Oryzias latipes: one gene and its partner. The protein of the gene in region 1 purifies or fractionates together with the protein of each later gene. This does not show direct contact. Links are inferred from orthologs where the notes say so. Each region holds a gene or a part of one and is shown on either strand. Other genes may lie near its edges. The genes, in order: tbpl1 and gtf2a1.

Evidence for each region.
Region 2: the proteins of tbpl1 (region 1) and gtf2a1 purify together in Homo sapiens (affinity purification with mass spectrometry; 5 studies listed by BioGRID and IntAct, counting the BioPlex papers as one, with this or other methods). This does not show direct contact. The link is inferred for Oryzias latipes from reciprocal best matches to the Homo sapiens genes TBPL1 and GTF2A1.

What each region holds. Positions count from the first base shown.
Region 1 is NC_019882.2:14,171,234-14,183,680, reverse strand, and holds the start of tbpl1 (TATA box-binding protein-like protein 1), read right to left. Parts: upstream 6,220-12,447; 5' UTR 6,123-6,219; intron 5,315-6,122; 5' UTR 5,210-5,314; coding exon 5,075-5,209; intron 4,991-5,074; coding exon 4,908-4,990; intron 3,958-4,907; coding exon 3,894-3,957; intron 2,590-3,893; coding exon 2,486-2,589; intron 1,449-2,485; coding exon 1,354-1,448; intron 289-1,353; coding exon 206-288; 3' UTR 1-205. UniProt on the Homo sapiens protein: Part of a specialized transcription system that mediates the transcription of most ribosomal proteins through the 5'-TCT-3' motif which is a core promoter element at these genes. Seems to also mediate the transcription of NF1. Does not bind the TATA box.
Region 2 is NC_019882.2:4,163,431-4,174,896, forward strand, and holds gtf2a1 (transcription initiation factor IIA subunit 1), read right to left. Parts: upstream 10,403-11,466; 5' UTR 10,194-10,402; coding exon 10,164-10,193; exon of another isoform or gene 10,127-10,163; coding exon of another isoform or gene 10,121-10,126; intron 8,885-10,120; coding exon 8,783-8,884; intron 8,673-8,782; coding exon 8,504-8,672; intron 8,413-8,503; coding exon 8,348-8,412; intron 7,927-8,347; coding exon 7,851-7,926; intron 7,775-7,850; coding exon 7,653-7,774; intron 7,559-7,652; coding exon 7,454-7,558; intron 7,354-7,453; coding exon 7,072-7,353; intron 6,081-7,071; coding exon 5,991-6,080; intron 5,476-5,990; coding exon 5,368-5,475; 3' UTR 4,782-5,367; downstream 1-4,781. UniProt on the Homo sapiens protein: TFIIA is a component of the transcription machinery of RNA polymerase II and plays an important role in transcriptional activation. TFIIA in a complex with TBP mediates transcriptional activity.

The DNA of each region.
Region 1 (12,447 bases):
TATCCATGCAGAACACTCAAAGCAGGATAAAAGTGACAGCAGACAACTTTCTCATGAACTCCAACAAGGATTATAAAACTCTCAACACACACGTCCGTCTTGACAGTCTAGTTAGTCTTGCAGAGATTACCGTAAAGAAAAGGAGCGAGGAGTTTCCTTATCAGTATTGAGTCTTCTTTTATCATGTAGGCGACTTCTTTTTGTCCTATTTGCAGAGGGGTTTCCGACACTCAAACAGCAGTGGGTAGACCTGCTCCACAGCTGTTGCAACATTCTGCACATTTGGTCCTGCATTGTCAAGACAGAGTATGAATGTGGTGACAGAAACATTCAAAATGCAAACTTTCACTGGTGAAATTTATCAGGAACTGGAATCTTTTTCTTTTTTTTTAATGAGGGCATGACCTCAATCCAGCAAACTAGTTTTCTGACAGCACTTCTATGATCCTTTTAAACAAATATCATATTAAAAATCTCAACAACAGACTGACACACATTTAAAGTCCCCACTCTGATCATCTTGGTCTTTTAATTATGATCATGCAGGTTTTTAGGACACACAGTAGTTTCTGCAGAGCGGCAGTAGTTCAATAGAAATTCACTTCTGAGTTGTGGCGGGGGCCTGTCATCACATCCCCTGTTTCTGAGAGCTCTCTGTTTACATGCTCTCCTGCTAGCTTACATCCCCTCATGACCCCACCCTAACATTAGCAATGCAAATGGTGCTGAATATCAGGGCCGTCCAGTTTTCAGACAGATGCCAGTTTAGACGAAGAAAACAAAGACGTCCGTGGATCTAATTGTCCTAAATGGAGCCGAGAGTTTGTGCCCCGTATATTTTATTATCTTCTTCAAATGGCATTTTTTCATCTGCTCCTGATTCACAATGATTTGAATAAAGAAATACTCAGAAATACAAATTTATGCTCGTTTTTTTTTTTTGTCATTTGAACAAGTTTTTATCGAAGTGGGGCTTTAAATGAGAGCAAACACTCGGCTTCCCTAATGTGTCATTCATTTGGTTTATTTCTAAATTATAAAATTATTCGTTTCCAGTTTTTTTTTTTTAAATCTGGTTGAACCACATTAAAGAAATTGTTTTAGTTTGACCTAACAAGTCTCAGGTTCTTAAGACAGATTCCTGACATACGTTTTACTCAAAGTGACTCAAAAGTTTTAACAGGTTAATACATAACACACTCTCACCAACAAACCACCCCCCCCTCCAATGGAAACATTAAGGCCACTTTTTTTTTAGGAGTTTCCAGACTTTATGGAGTTTGACTTTATTTTTTTTTTGCTTCCTGATGCCCTCTTTAGACTCCTGTTGCGGTCACGGGTAAACTAACTTACCTGTAATCGTGAGGCTTCCAGTGGAAAACACCTGTACAGTAGCCTTTATATTCTTGATTCTGTATGTAGCAGCAGGGTGAAGCTCAGGCTCATAACTGGCAAAAAATAAAAAGTTCAGCAAACCAAAGGTTTAGTATGACTTGATACAGACAGGTCAGTGCAGCTCTTTTTTCTAAATAAGAAGACTGTTTATAAAAATTACAGGGTGACAACGTAAAAAACAACTTAGGGCCTGATTTCACAACAGCAACACCAGGCAGAATCAATGCATGTTTCAACCACTAGAGGTCACCATATTCTTGCAAACAGCAAGAAAATCAACTTTTCCTTCACTGAAACTGAACAAAATTTAAACTAATAAAAACTAACAACTAATCTATGAAACCTAAAACAAAAGACTTGTTTCTAAAAAAAAAAAAAAATGGGCTCAATGAGTAGAACTTAAAACAAAAAAACTGCAAAAAACTTTAACAAGACTTATTTTAATCTCCCTATCATTGCCTTATTCTAAAAAAAATAATTAAATATTTTATTTCCACAGCTTTAAAAAATCTCAAATGTTGAATTTTACAAAATAATAAATAATGATAATAAGGCCTCTTTCACACAAAAAGGGCATATTACTGATTATAATATTGATTGATTACTTGGATTTATTTGTGCTATGTTGTAGGTTGTTCTTTAATGTATTATTTTTTTTTACATAAAACTAATCTTTTTCCCTTCCCATACAGAAAGCTACATTAAATGGTAAAAACAGGAACTAAAAAATGTAGAAAAGATATAGTGTGAAAGTTTTAGGACAAAAACAATTTTCTACTTATTTGAGCTGCACTTTACTGACAAATCTATGTATCCAATTAATAACATTAACAACAATCATGCTTTTAACAATTCAATTTTAATATCAGTTTTAAAAAGGACTGTCACCATCACTAGATATGATTCACCGATCAATCAAAATGTTTCATCTACAGATGAGTTTAACACTTTGATGTTAAATAAATGGGAACAATGTAAAATGTTTTGAATCCAACTATTGCTCTGCAACTGCTTTGCCTAAAAATCTCCAAGAAATAATTCAAAACTGAAAATATATTTGTTTTTATACAAATATAATAACTCATGTTACCTGGCTATGGGCCGGTTGTTCTTTGTGAAGTCTACCAAGTGAATTGAAAATGGCATGGAGCAAACGGCGAGCACATTCACAACCTTGAAAGCTGAAAACCTCACCTGTGAAAGGGATAAAAAATGCAGTTCCAATTCAGTTACAAGACTTTTTTTAAGGTCAAATGTTTTACCCTTGATTTGGTTTATGCCAATTTCAGCACATGTGAGTTTTGGTGGCAGACCTGAGGGTTAGTGTCCTGCAGCGTGTTTGTCCAGGATGAGTACACATTGTACATAACCTCAATCTACACCTGATCCGTACTTATCTTTCAGCCCACATTCTTTTTACAGTGTGTTGCTAGAGGTTCTCCTAGAGAACAGGAGCTTCTATATAGATGTAGAGCTCAGACGCTCATGGACTGTCGCCCACAGCCTGCAGCAAAGCAACATCTTCAGCTTTATCTGTGTGTTCAAGTGCTGGATATTTTCACAGTAGTGGGTTGTGCCATGCAGTCTATCACTGTCTTTTTTTTATACTGGTTGTTTCCTAGCAATCAGTGGCATACATTGTGTAAATGACATTAAAACACATTGGTAACACACAGTTTCATCACGGATTCAAATCCTCCAAAGGTCCCCTTAAACCAGCTCATGTGAAGTTCTCCAGAGACCATCTGGACGATCCAGAGGAGAACTGAGAGAATGTCAAACGATAAGATTAGACTAATATGGAACTCCTTGTAATAAACACCACTCGGCTTGTTTGGAAGAGGAAGAATGCTGAGTTTCATTCCAAAAACACCATGCCCACTGTAAAGCATGGGGGTGGTGTCATCATTCTATGGGACTTATTTTCTGCAAAAAGGGAGTGGACAGCTGATCTGTATTAAGGAGAGGATGAACGGGATCTTTGAGCAAAAACTTATTTCCTAAAGTGACATGATCAATGATCTTAAATCGTTCACCACGGCAACACAGGAGTGGTTAGGTAAAAAGCATTTCAAGGTTCTGGAGTGACCTAGTACGTCTCCGGACCTCAGTCCTATAGAGAATTTGTGTGTTGCCCAGCAACAGCCCCAAAACATCCCAGCTCTGGAGAAGATCTGCATGGAAGAATGGACCAAAATAACAGCTAAAACAAACATGATGAAAACTTACAAAAAGCCTTCAAACTTCTGTCACTGACAGCCAGGATTACATTGCAATGTATTGAGGTAAACTTCTGCTATTGTCTAAATACTTATCCTCCCCATCATTTTACAGCTACGGTAACTTCTTTAAAAATGAAACATTGTGATTTTATGGATTCTTTTTTTTTTGCATTATGTCTCTAAAATCTGATGGGTTTTTGTGATGAAAATAACAGATCTCTTTTTTTAGGGGAATAATCAGGAAATACTAAACATTTTTAGTACGTATATTCTTACCTTGAAGCCAAGTTTCTGCAGACAGCGCGCTAGTCTGCGAGCGCCCAGCTTTGCCTCGTCCTCACTGAACAAGAGACAAAAGGAAACTTTTAAATTATTATGTAATATCTAAATGAAAAATGACTGAGAACAAAGAGGGAAATCTAACAGACGTCTCAACTCTGTGAATAAAATATACAAGCAGTGGCACAAAAGCAATCAAATTCCATCCAATGTCATCTGATTATAATATAACTGACACTGACAGATACATACTATACAAAAATATATAGTAAAACAGAATCCTAAAGATGAATACAAAAGATTTTAAAATGTGATTCTACATTTAGGTTTGAACCACAGATTTGATTTTAATGAAAGACATTTCTATTTTGGTGGTTAGTTTTTACATCATGTTTATTCTTTACAACAATTTCTTAAACTATTTTTATTCCTCTAATTTAGACTTTGTCTGTCCGCTGACTCATAAAACAAATGTATGATAGTTTTATTAATGAAGTTGTTTAACGTCTCATAACGTTCTCAGATTTTTCTGTCAGACAAAGTGAATGTTTGGACACAAAAAGATCAAATCAGCCAATCAGTTTGAAAAATCAGTTTTGAATTTCACCTAAACTTTCCAAATAATTGAAGCGGTTTGGGTTACTGTTGATATTCATACCTATAACCTGCTAATAACTAGTTTTGTATCTTATTTTGATCCAAAATTGTTTTAGCTTCAGAATATCAACTTTTTTGATGAATTCTGCCAAGTTAGTTACAGTTCTGAGCCACACAAAATCAACCTATATTAAAATTCAAAAATCTCTTTAGTTGAGTCAAAGTGTAAAAACTTTGCCAAATTAAATTGTACACGCATACATTTTTTAAAAAATAAACAGCATCTGAGATAGCTGTCGGCATGGTAACAAGAAACTGCAAACAAATGAATCATATTTACACTATTTAATTTAAGGCAACATGCAAAGTGTGCTAAGTTAACTAGGATTCCCATTTTTATTTGACACTGTTTACCTTGTTGCTCCAGTGCAGATGATCTTTCCTGATGACCAGATTGAGGCTGTTATCCTTGGTTTCCGAAGTTTCATCAAGACTTTCTAAATAAAGAGATAACTTTAAAAAACAAAAACAAAAAACGCAACTTTGTCAGCATTATATGATGCTCTCTTTTCCACACTCACCCCTACTTCCGGCTTGTAGATGACATTGATTCCCTCTAGAGCGATTGTACGCAGATTAAGGTGACATCTGGTCCGAAACGTCGCAACAACATTAGTGATAATGATGTCGACTGCCTCATCGTTGCTGGAATCCATGAGGAAGTGTGCGGCGCAGCAGGAAGAACACCAGGCCTTTTCTCTCACACATGCATCAGAGTGGCCTTCCCCATAACTCCCTTGATTGACTTAGGAGACAAAAGTCTAAAGAAAACAGTTAAAAAGTTAGCGTTTAAAACCCCATTTCAAAATATTTTCCAGAGTGTAAGAACATTAGTAAAAAGACAAACGTTAACTTAGTGTTTCACTATACTTGAATACATTTTTCAAAAGGGTTTAAACAATGATGTGCTGTCGCCCTTGTTTCAGCACAAACACCAACTACAAACAATAATCCAGACTCTATATATACACATATTCTGGATGCATATTCATATTTCTAGTACCAGTACTCATAAGTAGTTTTTGGAGAGGAAATCAGTTATGACAATGAAGTGTTCACCTAAGCAAGTGAAGTCGCAATTTGTTAATTATATTGGCACTTAAGTATGATCTAATTACATGAGAAAGGACACAATTTTTCCTGCATTGTCATGACTAAACCTATTCGACTTTGTTTAGTTTCGAGAAATAAACAAAAGATGACAAGTTACTTATGCTAGCTTTTGCCGGCTAGCAAAAACTGCCTGTCTCTTATAACAAACGCACATTTGACAAACATACAACAATTGATTTGCTGTCGCAGTTAGGTGATCATAAATAAGTCTGTCAAAGTAAAAATAGTTTCCGACTGGTTTGTCATTTAGAAATGCTAACCATTAGCACATAACAAAGAGGGGAGACGAGGCTTCTGAATGAAAAGTTGTTAGCTACGGATGCTAACAAGCTAACTGTCGAAAATGGGTGCAAGTTCCATAATTTTTAGGTCGTTTTGCTGACCAATGGCAAAGTATGCGTTTTATAGAAAAATAAAGCACACAACCTCGAATTATGTTGATTTTTTTCTAGTTACCTCTGAGTAGCTACACTCATAAATATTTCCTTCAACAGCAGATGTTTGTTGACAACCCCTTCTGAGTTTGTTGCCTTGCATGAAATACAATTTCCGGTTTATCCTTTCAAAATAATGGTTTCGTCAGGTCAACTTCCGTCTTTAATAAGTTACAAAACCATTTAAAAAAAAGGTTAAAAAAATAGCAAAAAACAAGGAAAGTGATTTACGTTATACTTACGAAAAATAAAAAAGAACAAAAAAGCAAAATAGTGTCTTAAAAAAACTAATTTATGAATTGTGAGAGGGACATAACTTTGACCCTAAACCTATTTTTTTGTTGCTGTTCTATTAGAGTTTAAAAATAAAAACGTAAAACGTTTAGAATCAACAGATACATAATTTTAATTTAAAAAAACATTTTCTATGTACAAATACAGTTATTACATACTGTGCATATTTGGTGAGGATTGTATTAATTGGATCCTGTAAGACTGAAGAGACAATCCAGTTCCCATGAACTTTTGAAAAGTAATTAGTTTGTGAAACAATTTCCGTCCAAGAGTTCAATTAAATCAAAAAACAAACTTTTTTTACACGTTTTATGTGTACTACCAATATGCAAAATCAAATAAACTTGATTTATTTGAACTTGTAAGTAGGACAAAGGAACATTAAGCTCTGAGGAATTTGTTATCAGTCCCATCCGCCAACATGAATATAAAAGAGAAATATGTTAAAAAATTTACAGCTAGCACTTTGTCTATTTGTCTATTACTCATAAAAGTGAACCATTGCAATCATTGCATTCTCTAAAGTAAATGATCTTGTTTGGTGGATGACTGCTTTACACATAAAACTTTTGACCAGCTTTAAACTCAAAAGAAAAGGAGTACGATTTGGGAGCCATAGGGAGAATTTGTGTTATCAATAAGAGAATTCACAGCCGCCCTGTGGCAACTTAGTCAATGAAAACTGTCCAGAAATCCCTGGAATGCTGACATTCAGCAGAAATCATGATCTTTAGGGACCCTGATAGAGACTTACCAAACAGCTGTTCTCCGATTGAGATGTTTCACTTTACGCATGAACATTTAAACTGATAAGACAAGTATTTACATGAGATAAAGTTGCCTGAACCAAGCACAGTTATGAAGATCTCGCTTGCATGCGCCTTCTTTTCTTTATTTGTTTATACATGTGGAGATTTGTGACTTATTGCATTCTTATGAACATTTGTGCATTGTGTGGTGAAACCCTCTCTACATCTTCAGACAACTAAAACACTTTACTTGACTGGCCTCCTCCCAAGCAAAACAGAAAAATAGCTTCTTTATGATTCAGCCTTGTTGTTATTGTTCTCCCTCCTAGGTTACCAAATTGTCTCTTTCCTTCTCTCATTAAATCTTCTTTGGCTTCTCATGATGAAATACAGCCTAAAGTTGTCTCCATTCTGTAAAAGAGCCCCGTTCAGTTGTCCTAACATGTTTACTATAAAGGTTTAGATTTAAAGCAGGTTAGAAGAGTCAGCCCATTAACAATAATGGTGAGCGTGCATTTGTGTGTATTGTGAGAGGGCTGACGCAGGGCGCAGGAATATGTTTACAGTTTGTTCGGCTGCATATCATTGGGGCAGCTTCTTCCCAGGGGAACAATGATCCTCTCTCATTAGGTCCTAAGAAACTGCATGTAAACCCACAGATGCAAGCACTTATGACTTAAGAGATGCAAATACACGGATGGGTAAATAGACGGTTCATCACTTTGTGTGAGCGTGTCAAAGAAAGATGATGAGAAAGTGAGGCATTCCTTTTTGGCTATGGGAAAAAAACACACTTGAGCCCACCACTGCATTTTAAGGAAAAGAGGTAAATTTTCCATCAGGTTTTGAGATTTTATAGATAAGTATCAGAGATAGAGAGGGGCAAAATGAAACCTGAAAGATTAATTTAAAAAATACCTCAAAGAACACTGTTAGTTAGCGTCCTTAAAAAAACATCTGGAAAAAAAACAACTGGGAAAGACTAAAAAAAGCAGCATCAAGGGAGTAATGGATGTGCACAAGAAAAAAAAATTCCATATACCAAAACTTCAAATAAACAAATAAAACTCAAAGCACTTACTCATGAATTTAGTTCAAAGCACTTAGTTTTAAGCTAAGCTTGTTGGATAGATGATTTAACATTTGATTATAAAATATTTAGTCATCTCAGGTCCAAAACTGCAAAAAAATGTCTTACTTTTCCATTTAAAGGCTTTTGCTTGTCTTTTCATCATAGTTTTTGCTAAGGTCAATTTTGACTAAAAGTCTTAGCATCTTGAAAAACTCTACAAGGTTCAGCTTTGCTGCTCAGCCCTTCTTCAAGAGAACTTAAGAACTTCAGGTAAACACAAAATCAAACAAATCGCGTAGCAGTTTTCTAAATGTACAGATTCAAACATTCAACCTGTGCAGTCCGACATTTAACTGGCAGTTTGATCTTTTTCTTTTTTATTTACGTTCTGGGAATTGCAAATCCTGACCTTAGAATGAACTTTCTGTCCGCTCCTGAAAAGGCTGGCAACCGTGTCTAATACTTTCCAGTTTGAAATCTATTTTGCTAATGAAAAAAGAGGGGTGCTACTTATGAAACATGATGCCTGCATTGGTGTTTTGCACAGATACAGTCCAGACCAATGTTTATCTTTGGCTTTTAAGCTATGAAGGTTTTATGCCCGGTAATACTCGAGTCACTCTTTCTTCTCTAGAATCCTAGCAGTAAGATTACTGTAAATTTATCACTATGTTAAATAAAAATGAGCAAAGTCACATAATTTTTTTTCCAATCTCCCAAAGGAATTGAATGTTTTTCTTTTTGTTCAAGCAGTCCCTGTAACTTTCCTGAGAAATATAAATACATTTTTTAAACTGAGTCTTCTCTGCATAGATGATCCGTCAAGCCAGTAAACTGGGTGTTTGTTAGGACCCCTGTGTTTTGTTTATGTCCAATGCACTTCAAAGACTCATTTTAAAAGAGCTACGAGAGAAAAGCTTTGGAGCGACTTACCGGCAGAGCTTTAAAATAAACCTTTAGCCCAGTGTCAAATGGTTATCAGGTATTTGACTCTTTGGAAGACCTAAAGAAGGTGAAAAATATACAGACTGAATATATAACATGGTTGGAAATTTTCTACTAAAAAAAAAAAATATAGGAATTGTGTTTTCATTGCGATAAAATGTCAGAGAAATATGTTTGGAATATGTCTTGAATTTTTTTTTGGGGGGGAATTTTACTTGAAAACAAAGAGTGTATCTTGGTCCCTATATTTATGTGTGAGGCTGAGATTAATGGTGTGTGAGCTTGCAGCGTAAAGGGAATCCAGTGCTCGTGTAATGCTGCTCAGAGGTCTTCCAGTGTAAACAGATATGTGGGAATGACCAAGCCTGTTTATACGATCTCCATTCTTACTGGGGACCAGTCCACCAGGCATCAAGGCAAAGACAACCCACGGGTCTCTCATGTGTAAATATCCACTCAGCTCTGCAGACGACGTGGAGGGGACTGTTCTGAAAATCCACGGATTCTGCAAGGGGAATCTGACGGGTCTGAAAATGATCTTCTGGCCTGGACTTTTGGGGTCATAATCTGCAAATCCTGGATTCCACAATAATACACAAAAATGCTCACGATAAGATGAACACATCCTGAAGTCCTGATGTCATGTAAATGTTAATAAACAATATTTTACTCTGAAATCAGGTCATCCCCGGATAACCAGGACAAGTAGGGGCAAAAGGAATTACACATCAGTGATGAAGAGAAGAAAAGACATTTTTTCCAGCTGCCTGGCTTTGAACTCTGAGATGTTATCACCCCATGGACCCCGTGTCAGATTTACTGGTCAAATATAAAAACACCACAGAGTCCATGTTTAGGCTGGTTTGGTAAGGGTGGCACGACCGTGAGCTTTATCTGATGCAGCCATGTTCCACAGAGAAAGCACCTGCTATTATGAGAACAGAAGGGAAACACTCCTGCAGCTGTGTCAGGAGGAAATCCAAGAATCCCCATGAACTTCTTGAGGAATTAGGATCGGGTCCAGTATTTTTCCTCAATTTTAATGATATATTACATAATTAATATTCAGTAAAAATTATTTTCCATTACAAAAAGAAAGCTCTGTTTAAAGCTGGTATACAGGAAATTCACACCATTAATTTGCAAACATCCAATAGAGGGCAGCACGAAATGTTTTTTTAAAATCAATCACATAAGGATAAAATACCTCCATTCCATAACCACTGTTGGACAAATTAAACTATTCATTTGTTTAAGTATAAAACACAAACAAAAAAACTACAATGAAAACAAAGTTTACATGAACCAAAGTCAGAATCCAATGTCAAGTTCCTCCCAAATGACATCTTTACTCGGTGGCCCAATTCCCATTTTATTGTTCCCAACAAAAAACAAAGAATGAGGAAAAATATCTGAGTTTTCTTCAAAATAGAAAAAAAAATCTTCATTTTGACATAAAACATTTAGCCTCCGTCATTTTTATGGGGAATTGGAAAAAAAAAAAAAACACACCCTTTATATGTGCTGTAATCTTGTGACTTTAGGAATGGCCATTTAAGCACTTTCTGTAACATGTGTGGATTGGCAGCTGCATTGCCTCATCATGGACTTACAGCCTGTTGTGGGGACTAAATGAGAGGATCTGAGCCACTTTCCCATTCATTTTGTTATTGTTGATTTTACAGATGAAGCATACTAAATGGATAGATTGCAAAGTCCTTTGTAGCTCTTTGGCTTTTGGTGACAGAACAGTATTTCTTCCTGAGAACTGGGACCTGTCGGCCGTTTAGTCATGCAGATGCACAGACAGTGTTTGGATAGGAAAGGGTTCGCCGTGAGCCTTTTGGAGTGGATTCTTCCTCTCACTGTGGAAAACAATTGCTTTGAAAACAATCTGAGAAGCGTGTTCTGAACAGCACCATAGCTTAGAGCTGTTTGTGGTGGGAGTTGGGGCAGACCTGACATTACTCATAATTTGTTGTATGTAATGTGTAAGAGACACGTTTCAAAGCAAAATTATAATTATAACCTGAATCAGCAGTTAATGAACACATAAACAGTAAAACATGATTTTCTGCTGTAACTCAGTGGTGTAAAGCACTGCTAATAACCTTTTAGTAAAATTTTACTAATTATAGCTTAAGTAATGTCTGTATTACTACAGACAAACCAACCAAAATGTCATAGTTCAAAGCAGCAAAACCGCCAGATTAGAAAAGACTTTTGAACAACTGTCATGTATTATACATTGGAAGTACTACTCACACTTGATGAGGCATGTAAGGAACATTTCAACACAAATTCAGATCAAGTTAGAAAATAACAGGTGTTGAGCACTGATGACCTGCCCACGGCCCCTAACATTCAGTCATTGGGATAGGCTCCAGCAACCCTGCAAACCGAAAGGGATTTATGGCAGTTACAGAACATCATACACATTACTTTAATAAAATCCAAAGGATCTGATTATGTTGTAAGTCCCACAGAATTTTATGTTGTAAAAGCTACAAATAAGTTATGAAGGAATTGGGGGGGGGGGGGGGGTATGAAAATAATTAAGATAATCTAAGGAATTATTTAAAGGTACATTGATCAATAACTTATGCCACTGTTAAGAGCGGGTATAAAATGATTCGGACTGTGCTGTAAAAAATACAAAATGGAATATGAATGGAGAATGTTTAAACTCTGAACTTTGACATGTTAATAATAAATAATAAAAACATGTTAGTCAGAAGGTAGTTCCGTTTCATATATATTAAATTCTAAATATGTACAATCAAAGAAATAAAAAAGCTGGAAACTCTTTTTTTCTTTCCCTGCTTGTTCACAAGTTCATACGTTTTCCTGACTGGGGGTGGGAGGTGTTGACACAGAAGATGTTTTTGGGTGGCATCTGGGGAGCGAGCCGGGGTAAAGGTGTAGAGTGATGTCAGGAGAAGGAGGAGTCCACGATAAGGGGTACTTTGTTTTGGCAACCAAGGATTTTGTTGTTTGAACAGTGTGCTGCACTTTGTCATGTTTGCAAACTCAAAAACACGTCTTATTGATTTGCACTTACTTGGTTTGCAGTGTAATAAATCATAACAAACAAGAAAAAAAAAGAAAACCTTCTTTTTTAAGCAAGTGACACACACACACATGCTGGCGCACAAATATTCACACACGAGTGCAGAGATATCTAAATTAATGGTCTCCTCGGGGAGTCATCCAAAGGCCACAGGCATTTGGGAGAAAAGATTCTTGGAAAAAGGCTTCATCATATGAACATTTGCTCATTAGTAACC
Region 2 (11,466 bases), about 10 Mb from region 1:
TTGAATCACTTATGGAATTGTGAAAAAAAATAATATTCACTAATATATTGGGATGTAGGTGACATATACTGCAGTTATTGTCTATATACCAAGAATACTAAAAGATAATAACTACAAACAAATAAGTAAATGGCAGCATTTAAAACTAAAATACAGAAACAATCATTCTATAGATTAACTAAATAAAAAATGAAATAAACCAATAACCAAGTGACCTGTGGCTGCAGATGGAGTAAAATAGTTTGCACACTGATCCCCACAAAATACTGTTTTGCTTTTTACTAATATTTTCAGGACTTCCTTAATAGAAAAAAATTAAAACACAAGTCGTCTCCAGCTGTGGTCAATAAATATGGAACAAAACAATTCAATTTTCATCGAAGAAGATCCATAAAATTCAGATTTCTGTCCAAACCATCATTTTTCTGTGACATATTACCAAAAGAATGAACTCTAACCGTGACTGCAGTCCATTGTCACAGTACATTTAGACGTTTAAGGACAGATACTGAAGTACATCAGAAAAACAAAAGCCCTCAGATCAGCAAATGTCTACATGATGTAAGCCTGGGTCTTGATGAATAAAGTGTCAAAGTCATCTATACCATGACTCCACATTTTGATTTATTACGTATTAGGTTGCCCTTTAACTGTCACTAATACTTTAGGTTTGGTTTCGATGTTCTATAATACAACTGAATTCAGTGTAAATGTGTTTAAATTAACCCTAGTGTTGCCTCATGGGTAAAATGTGACCCACTACCATGTATAGTAAGCAAAAAGATGCCTTAATCTATTTTCATGAAATGTGATTTTTCCTAAACTCCATCACTAGAAAAAGGGATGTTTTTGTTGACATGTGGGCTGCAACCACATAACCTGTCTAATGGGTCATTTTGACCCATGAATTATAAAAGGCATCTATCTAAACACCAGAAATAGTTCAAAGGCCACACACAAACGGTGAATTCATAAATCCACACACTTTCTAAAAAATACAAAAGACCAAACTGTTGTCCAAGAATTCAAGATTGTAGCCATTTTTTTCAATATCATTAATTCAGAAGTAATTATTTCATACTTATATAAATGCAAAAACAAACCTCTGGGTGTATTACAGAAAACAGTTTGGGGGCGGGTTTGCTGTTATGTTCACTGCTTGTTTTTTGTATTGTGTAACAAAATTTGATGAAAAATAAATTAAACTGCGTTGAATTATTCGGGAACAGGATGCTTCATCATGCACAGTAGAATTTAGACTTAAAGTTCAATGAAGGCGCTTTATTTTGAGGCTTTAGCAAGGTGGGTCATTTTTGACCCTTTAGACAAGGGGCATAAACAGAATGTCTAGATTACAGGAGGGGAACTCTTATATTGTGTTTGATTATAAGGGTCAATTTTGACAATATACAAGCGATGTGCCTATGGGCTTTAGGGTGTGAGGTTTACATTCAGCTAAACGTCTTTAAAATGAGCCTGTAACCCACCTCAATTGTTCCTAAATGGCATGAATCAATCTGCGACGCAGCAGCTTGGAGTTGAAAAAGAAGCTTGCACAAAGCAGGTGAAGCGGCTCCAGTGAGTTTGGTTTCCTTCTGCACGACTTCATTTTTGGAGAATTGTAAAAGTTAAGGAAAGGTGTTTGGCAGTTCACAGTTTGAGAAAAAGAGACTTGTTCAGGCCTCCACTTGGACAGGAAATACAATTTCATGCCATTTTTAAAATAAATCTGTCTCCTAGCTGCTGGACACGGCACATTTGAGCCGTGAGATCAGAGGCCGAAGTGAGGAAGAAGTACAGGTTCTCTTTGTCTCTGTGAGCTTCTCCTTTTCTGAAAGCAGGTAACTTTAGCATTCCACAGCCAGCAGTGTCAGCTTTTTCAACTTCTGAGGCCAATAATCTTTTTTTCTGCCGTGTTGCTGACCGGCTGTCGCTGCGAGTCAGCTGCTAGAATGAAAGAGCAGCAAAAGCTTAGCTAGACATCTCCAGGGTTCTGTTCCAAGCGTCACTCCGCTGCCTGAAAGCAGCAAGAGGAGCCGCCTCATCACAAAACGCCACATACACATTCCGCTTGATGGCGTGGAGTGACACGTCCACCCAGAGGGGCAGTTTGTCTCAAATCCATTTACAGTCCAGGGCCAAAATGTCACGCAAGTTTGCGATTTGGTTTAAATTCCAGACAGAACCGCACCTTTCTCTAATAATGACCAAAAAGGAAATACTCGTGGATTGAGTCAGTTTGGGTAGGAATTAGTGGACTGGCAGGGAGAACACCCAGGTGCCGGAGCGTGAAACTGAAGACAAGACGCTAAATCCAGCGAGTTCAAAGAAAACTCATCTGTTTTTGAAGGGGGAAAATATGATTTATGAATGTTAGAATTTAGTTTAAACTTTTCCTTCTTCTTTAGAAAGCTCTTTGTGATCTTGCACCTGTTTAGCTTTTGTCCGAAGCCATTCTGGAGTTTTAAGGTTTACCAACCACTCGTGTGTCCAGGTCACGACACAAACATTGAGGTTATGGTGAATTTTCCATCGCTGGTCCCAAGTTATAGACTAACATCTCATCAAAACTGCGCATAAAATTTCAAATGTCAACTAAAGAATAACCTTTTTATTGCCTGTTGTAATTTTATGCTGTTTTTTTTTTTTTATTCTCAATTCTAACATTTTCTTTTAATCTTTTTCATTGTTAAGGCACTGCAAAGTGCATTAGAAGTGGAGGTTCTTTCATTCATTCAAACCACGAAAAACCTTTCTGGACAAATCAAGCAGAAGAGCCGTTAAAGGACTCCGATCATCGTCTAAAGCGTTCCCAGTGTTTTTTTTATTAGAATTGTGCCGTTTTTTTTAGCTAAAAATCAAACAAAACTGTTGTTTTCTAGGTCCTGTACAGCAGCAGTAGTTTGTTAGAAATATGCCTCCTAAGTTGTGAAGGGGGTTGTTGCTGTGGAGCAACACCGCTCCCCTTCGATGCCGAGAGCTCTCCGTTTACAGGATTCCCTGCTAGCTCACTGCCCCGTCACAACCCCAACCTTCACCTTCACACTCCAGTCAGCAATACGTTGAAGCGCTCACTTCGAATGAAAAGTCAAACCTCTTCCAACGTGCCAGTAAGCAGTAGGAAAAGATAGCCCCTCCCTGCTTGTCCAGTGTGAACACCTTGGGCTAAAGACACTTTCAAGAATGCTGTAGCTTAACTTTACTGCCATTCAGACGAGGAAAACCAAGATGTACATGGATGCCCACAAGAATGAAGCAGAGTGCAGAGTTTGGGCCCCGCCCCATGTATTTTCTACGTCACAAATACACTTTTCTTTTTTAAACTGCATTTTTTCATCCACTTCTCCATCTGGGAATCAGAAATACTCAAATTATGAGCTTAATTTTCTCAATATACGTCTTGCATTGTCAGAAAAATGCCACAAGAACATGTTACCGTGATTTTCATCAGAATGGGTTTTTAAGAGGTAAAGGAGATCATTAAATAACTTTAAGCAATGAAAAGACAGACTGGGGGAGCATAGCAGAGTAAAAAAATGGATACCTGGAAAACAAAGCATGCATTTTAGTTAAAAAAAATAAATAACAGACAAACATCTGAACTGGCTAAAGGCAAAGAAACCAAATTAGCAGGAATTATTCAAATTCTGAGCTCCAATAAAGTACTTCCAGCCCATTAAAACTCCCTTTTTAGCTGGAAATTCAAAGCAGGAGCCTTTATTTTGTTGCAAACATTTTTTAATTTAGGAAAAATTAAATGAAATTACATTTCTTTAAATATCTCAACAGCAGTTAAAACATAAAGAATACAGTTTCCATGGACATCCTTCCATTAGTTGTGGGTAAGACACAAGAAAACCCAAACAGAACTCAAGTTTAAAAAAAGGCACAGACGACATCCAGAGAAATGGGAATATACAGAAAATGTGCAGAACCAAAGATTTCACAGGCTGATTCAGAGGTGAAAAGAAAAGCCCTATTGATCCGTGTGCATGTTGTTATTTTATAGTCATGGTGCAGATGTGGCTACTTTTTTATTTATTTTTAATTTGTGTTTTCTTTTTTAGAAATGTACAACCCAACGGACAGGACAGTCAAAAAAAACAGGCTTTATTTCAGATTGCTGGAAAGGGGGAACCGAGTCAAACTGCAGAAACAAACACACAGCCCCCCCCCCCCCCCCCCCCTCCAGTTAAACTCACCTTTGATACAAAAAAAAAAAGTTTAGCGTAAAATAAGACAGAAAAACATTTATGTAGCGCTTGTCCAGCTGAAGAAGAAAACTAAAAAGGAACACTTACTGGATAATAAGAGCACAGTTTGGTGCGGCTTTCAGATCTTTCCAAGAACGTCCCGTGAACTTTTAACAATAAATAGATGATGCGCACCCCTCCCCTTCTCTAGTGTGACTGGCATTTTGAGACTGCAAGGTGTGCAAAAGAAAGACGTATGTTGCAGCTATCGCACGCCTGCACCGTCGATCCGCGTCTCACACACAAATGAACAGAAGAGACCTCGCTGCTGCTGATGCTGCTATGGATTTCCTGGACTGACTGAGCTCACGGACGTCGATAAACCCACAGTGCAAGTCCTCCCACGGCTGCAGCTGACTAAAGGAAGAGCGGAGATACACCGGCGTGGCAGCCTCACATCTTCTATGCAATCCCAAAATGAACTTTGGGGCTTTTTGAAAAAAAAAAAAAAAGATGGAATGAAGCTCCAGCAAAACGGGGTTAAACATCTGTGGATTAAAATTGATTTTTGAAGATTGTTTTTGTACCTTGTTTTTCCCAGGAGCCTCGGATCTGACGCTAAAAGATAATTTTTTAAAAAGATTGGACTACATAAAACAATTTGGAGCACCATTTTTCATTTTTCACATGGAAACAAAACTACAACCAAAAAAAAAAGCTGAGTCATTCTAAAAGGCAGCGGTTCTGACTGGTGGCACTAAGTTTGGACTTCCATGAATCCAGTCGACCGATTACAGTGCATTAAAAATGTGTGTCTATCGGGTTATGAGAGACCGCAGAGTTCCTTCTGGTCCGCAACACCTGTACGACATGAAATGACTGTTTTGGGGGAATTTTGTCAGAAGAAGGCAGAAGCCTTAAAGGGAAAAATAAACCAAAAAAGCTCTGTTCACAGGCTCTCCAGTGTCCTGTCGGTTTCTCATCCCGTAAACGCTGGTCGAGTGTTTTTCCACGTGTCATGTCTTACAGCAATCCTTTGGGTTGGATGAGTTCTCAAAGACTCTCGCTTTACCTTCCTGAAGGAGTTCGGACGCAGGATGTGAAAGGACGCTGAAGTATCAGTTTGCTGGATAAAAACAAGTTAGGAGTTCGTGCTTCGCCCGTCTCCCCCGCCTCACCACTCGGCGTCTCCGATGGATTTGGAAAAGACATAATCTCTGCCGTTCAGGTTCATTATCCCGTCTTTCAGGTGGAACTTCCATTTGTTCTTACTTCTGTGGATCTGAGGAGCGAGGAAGAGGAGGAGGAGAAGAATGGGAGAGTTCAGAACAGAGGGATGCTGCTGGAGCTTACCCTGATGCTACACCGCCGATCACTTCCATTGAAAAAGTCTAAGTAACCCTTTTGGGCTTCCGCGGTCAAAACTGTCACATTCACGGGTCGCTACACGTTTTTAAGTCAAGGAAACAATTGAACGCACGCTGAACGTTCAACCAATTGACTCTGCTTTAGTAGGGACGTATGGATGGCGTCCTTTTCAAAACATGGAAGTGCCAACCCTTTGATTAATTGATTATGAGGGAGTAATCAATAACTGTGGCTTGTGCTCGGCTAGAATGACGTCACATCAAGTCTTTCATACATCAGACTGAAGGAAAAAGGCCTGGGGCAAAGATTTGCACTGCTTCAACATTTCAGACCAAGCCTCTTCCAACGGTGAGTGCGTGCACCGGTAGCGACAGTCCAGTGTGAACACCGATGGCTAAACGTGAACGTAGCTTGACGCTCATCTCCTACCTTGTCATACTGGCACACCACGACATTCTCCGTGTCGAACAGCTCCTGGTTTTCATCATCACTGACATCATCTCCACTGTTCAGAGGCTCCTGGTGACCAAAAAACCCAAAGACTTCAAAGATCCACTCCAATCATCTTTTGATCGATTTTCAAAGCGTTCCCAGTGGTCTTTTAAAAATTATTACGCAGCTTTTAACCCCCCCCCCCCAAAAAAAAAAAAAAAATTTGCAGGGCGGCAAAAGTTCATTAGAAATTTGCCTCCGAGTTGTGGGCGGGATCAGTGACGTGGAGCGACCTCATCCCACAGCAGAGGACTTGGAGCAGGAAGCTCGAGGTATTATCTACGTCACAAATACGATCTTTTTAAACCGCAGTTGTTGGTCGATTAAAACGATCAATTTAATAGGTTTATCTTAAGATCCATCCAGGTTTATCTCTTCGAGGCAAGTTGTTCATTGAAACGCCCTACACCATAAAAAAATGTTTCAAAATGAAATGAATACTCAATCTTAGAAAATACCATTTGGATTGAGACTTGGCAGGTTTATTTCACTACAATGTAAAAAACGACCATCACATAGACATGATGTCAGCAAAAAACGATCGGTTCCATCATTCCGGTCCAATGAGTGGAAACACTCAATTTAGCAAAGTCATGTGACCATCCAGTGTGCTAGAATGTTCCCTTTGGATTACCTGGATGTGGAAAAACATTAGTGGTCCAAACTTTAAGAAACTAAAATGTAATCTGATTTGAAATCAACTGTTGTTTACATGTTTGTACACATTTAATTTACACTCAAATATCAGTACCCAGGTGCCGTTCAGTACTCAGGTATTGTTCAGTACTCAGGTAAGTCACACTAGTGGAAGTTTTGGCTAAAGATGGATCTGTTTTAGATCAGCGAACTGGATCGTTCAAACTGAATAAATAGACTTTTAATCGTCTTGGGGATCACAAATTATGACAGGAATCATCTGTGAAATGCTCAGAAATACAATTAGAAGCTTAATTTCCGTTATAAATGCCACAACAACATGTTAAAAACACCATAAACCCTGGACTGGCTCAACACTCACCTCTTCAACTTGCCCGTCTTCCCCACCGGTTTTATCTTTCTCCTCTTCGTCATCTTCGTCGTATTCCTCCTCTTCGTCCTCGTCTTCATCAGAGGACGAGTCTCCAGTTCCATCCAGCTGCACCATCATGGCGGGCTGCTGCGCCTGCGGTTGGGCCTGAGGCTGCTGCTGCGGGGCTGCCGGCTGGGCTGGGGCCTGAGCAGCGGCCACAGCTGCCCCCTGCTGGACCTGAGCTGCTGCTGCCTGGCCGGGCTGCGGCGCCATCGCTGCTGCTTGCATCACCTGGCGGCAGCCAGAGATGAGAGCAGAGTCATTACGTAAACCTAGAGCAACATCCCACAAAAAAAATAATAATTGGGAAAACATTAATTGGTGCTCTGACCTGTGTGGTCCCTTGAACTTTATTCCCTGGAGCCAAAACGATCTGCTGCGGCTGAATGATGACTCCTGCTTGCTGGGGCAGTCCACCCTGCAGAGGAGCTAAAACCTGCACGTTTGCAAGAAAAGGACTCCAAGTTTTCAGAAATCAATTCCCAGACTGGTTTCATGCTCAAAAGGATGACCTCACACATGGACTGTACCTGCTGTATAATGGGGGCCTGCACGCCGCCAGGCTGCATCTGATTCTGCAGGACGATCTGCTGCTGAGGCTGGATGATGTACTGAGTCCCGTTGGGAGCCCGGACCACCTGCAGGAGCTGACCTGCATCAACAGGAAAACAAAAAAACGTTTTGAGATCCAACCACGCTAAAGTCCAAAGGAACGGTGAGAGCTTTACCTTGGCTTGTGATGAGCTGTTGGTAGGGGGTGACCCCTGTGGGCAAAGCAAGGGTTGCTGCAGTGGCTGCTGCGGTCTGCAGGAGGAAACACAGAAAGCCGCTCCAATTATACCAGAGCACAAAAAGGTGGATTTTCTAGGTGATAAAAAAAGAAAAAATCTTCTTTTTTCTTTTCATTTAAGCCTTAAAGGTTTCAAACATGGTCCATCACTTAAGGAAAAGCTATAGCGGCGGCTAGGTTTCAAGCTCAAAAAGACAGATGGCCTCCCCACAAGAAAGCTTTTCCCTTTCTCGGTTTTGTTCTCCAGGTCCTTGTTGAGAAAAAAAGTCCTCTCCCAAAACCCACAGCCCGGCTAGTTTTCCTAACCGTCGCTTCCTTGATACTATCCCAGATATTCCCCGGGTGGATTTGTGCGATGACAAAACGGGACGTTTGGGAGAATTTTTGGTTCTCAAGTGTGGCGGTGCAGTTTTCAGCTTGTAAGATGCTACTCACCATTCCCGTTGAATTCATGTGCTGTATCATTTTAGAGTCCTGAACTATGACCTGCTGCTGGGGAGCTGTTGAGAATAAAACACATTATTTCAGGTTGAAAAAAAAAAAAAACAACACACGTCCAGGCGACGTTTGTATGTCAACGTGCGGACTCGCCTTGTTGCTGCGAGGGAATCTGGATAACCTGCTGGGCCGGCGCGGCCTGGGCCACCTGCTGGGCCTGTTGGGAGTGCGGGTGCTGCTGCTGAGCGGTCTGCAGGGCCGCCTGCTCCTCGGTGTGGAAGCCCTCCACCGCCTTTGACTGCAGCAGCTTGTTCTCCCACAGCTGAAAGACAAGACTCCAGATGAATCTGACCAAACACGGAGCTGCATGTGTGTGTGTGTGTGTGAGGGGGGGGGGTTATAACCTTCTCTCAGTAAAATGAGACGGATTACCGTTTTCAGCTCCAGAAGAACTTGCTCGTCCACCCCTTCATCCAGGAACAGCTCCCGCACCTCATTGATCACATCCTCAATAACAGACTTGTATAATTTAGGCTATGATGACAAAACAGAGCAAATACACAATTTATTGGTGGTGGTTTCAACATATATAAATGTTTACAATAAATGTAGGAAAACACTCATAAAAGAGGTGTTAAGTTTAAACGGTCACATCTTGTGTATATGGATAGATTATCCAAACCCATATATAATAATCTGCACTGATCCATTTGTCAGCAGGACTAAACGCGTCCCTCGAGACAGAGCTGCACGCGCGGGGAACTGTCACGGACAACATTCTGGCTTCTACGCAGAACGAGAAGCGGGACACCGAATGTCCGTCTCTCTGCTCTCCTCCCCGTCAGCTCCGGCACTATTTAAAGCGCAGTCTGCTGTTTATGTGAAGAACCGGTGACGTAGCGTCGTGTAGCACCGTCCCATCCCGGGCAGTCTATATTAGACGGCCAATATGGCGGTATAAAACCAGGCAGCAGAAAGGAGGAGGGCCAGAACCGAGAGAGGAGACGAGGAAGCCATTTTACAGAGCGGCAAGCGCGCGCGCGCCTCTTTTCCCTCCTCGACTAGCAAGATATGGCGGACTGAAGATGACGGTTTCGGTGGTTTATCTCATGAAAGGATCCGTTTTGACTAAACATTTTTGACTGGAGCGGGACATTTGTTGCGTTGAGGGTGATTTGGGACGGCTCTCCTGCCCTCTGGTCGTGGAATGGAGGACAATGAAGAAGAAGCAGTTGACAGAGCGTTCAAGACGCCAAGCTTTTAATAAAATTTTTTTAGCTAAATTCAGTCGCAGTGGATGGTGCATATGTGCTTTGCGTACATCAGTTTCCCTCCCCTCCAACAGTTATGCGACAATAAGTATGACATTTTCCCCCGTGTAAACAAAAATGAGCACCCCTAACTTAACTAGTTAGCTAACGCATTCAATGCGGATTTCAACTCAATTTAGCTTTAAAAAAATGTCCAGAAGGTTTTCGGAAGCACTTACGTTAACAACTAATACCGTATAAACAGGCAACTTTTAACTTTAAAATTTATTTTTGATCACATTTAATTTAAATATTTAAAGAGATTCGGGTCCTACAAAAGTAATCAGTTCTATAAGCTCTTTTTTCATTGAGTTTCGAAAACTGGTATAAAAAAAATGACCGTGAGTATTCCTTTGAATGGACATAACGGTGTTGGTAAAACTCATTTTTACTGTAATGAATAAAAAAAATAAATTAAAAAAAAAAACAGATCGTTGACACGTTTTTCCATCAACTTTACCCCCATTTTCCCCCGTTGACAGTCCTGAGAGATTGATCCTTACCACTGGGTTCGAGTTTGCCGAGCTCGCCATTATACGCGTAGTGTAAAAACCACACGGAAATAGGCGAGAAACAGTGCCAAAAATTAAGAAAAAAGACTTAAAACAACTGGGAAAGGTACTTTAAAACAGCCGGCATTACTTTTGTAAATAAAACACAGTTTTAACGGTCTTATTTACAATCCCGGGCTGCGACTCCCCAGCCGTCCTCCTTTCGTCGTTGTCCTGCTTTATATACTGAGCGATGGAGCTGCGAGTGCGCGAGACATAGGGCAGGGTCAAAAGGCACATAGCGCGAGATTTGCCACAAAAAACGATGACTAATCACTGACGTCGTGCTGGGAAATGTAGTTTAAATTGTAAATTTCACAATGCGATTGGATACTTAGCTTTTTAGATTTGTTGGACAAATTATCCAATTGTTAACCATGATTACAATTACATTGTTTTTGTTTGTGAGTTTGTATTGTGTTGAGAATGTTTACAAATAGAGGGTTACAAGTTTTAATTGATTTAACTTTTTCAGCTAAATCGAGATTTTTCCTGTATAGTAAATTCTGTGTTGTATTCATTACTTTTATTTTATAACGAAAAGGTTCAAATCTGAATCCAAAAGCCCGATTTATTTCTATGTTCCTTGTAGTATCGTTCTACAGCCACAAGAGGGCGATAAGACAACATCACATGAAAATAACCTGTGTTTCACTGGAGCTTTGAGACGGGCATATTTTTCACATGCAGCGTGCTATATGTGATCTTTAATTAAGAAGATCTGTGCACATTTGAAGAAGTATTTAAGATCATATTCACTTGATCCAAAAATACACAACCAAAGGGAAAATCCTTAAAAAAAAGCTTTGCAATAATTTCGTGTAGACATTGTTAACTCCACTTCAGTCTCCATGGAAACTTGCTTCCCTGGCCACTCTGTGGATATAGATGATATAGACTAGGGAAGACTGTTTGCATCAATCCACAAACAATTCAGTGTTTTCTGAAAACTGTGTTTACTGAAATTATCTAAAGAAGATGTAAAAAAAAGAGAGAGAGGGTGATCTGACCCTGCAGATCACCCTCTCATGCTTCTATAATTACAGGGGAAGCAAAGTTCAACGTGATCAAAAAGCAAGCGAGTGATCCATGCTATGAATGTTTGGGATGTGATCATATATGCAGGCTAGGGCATTGCTGTCTTTGAGCTTCACTCCGGTGTAACATTAGAGAAGCATGATGCCCTCTAAAGATCTGGAGAATGCACACTTTACCCCCCCCCCCCCCCCCACTCCCTACTCCCCCTTCTTTGCTG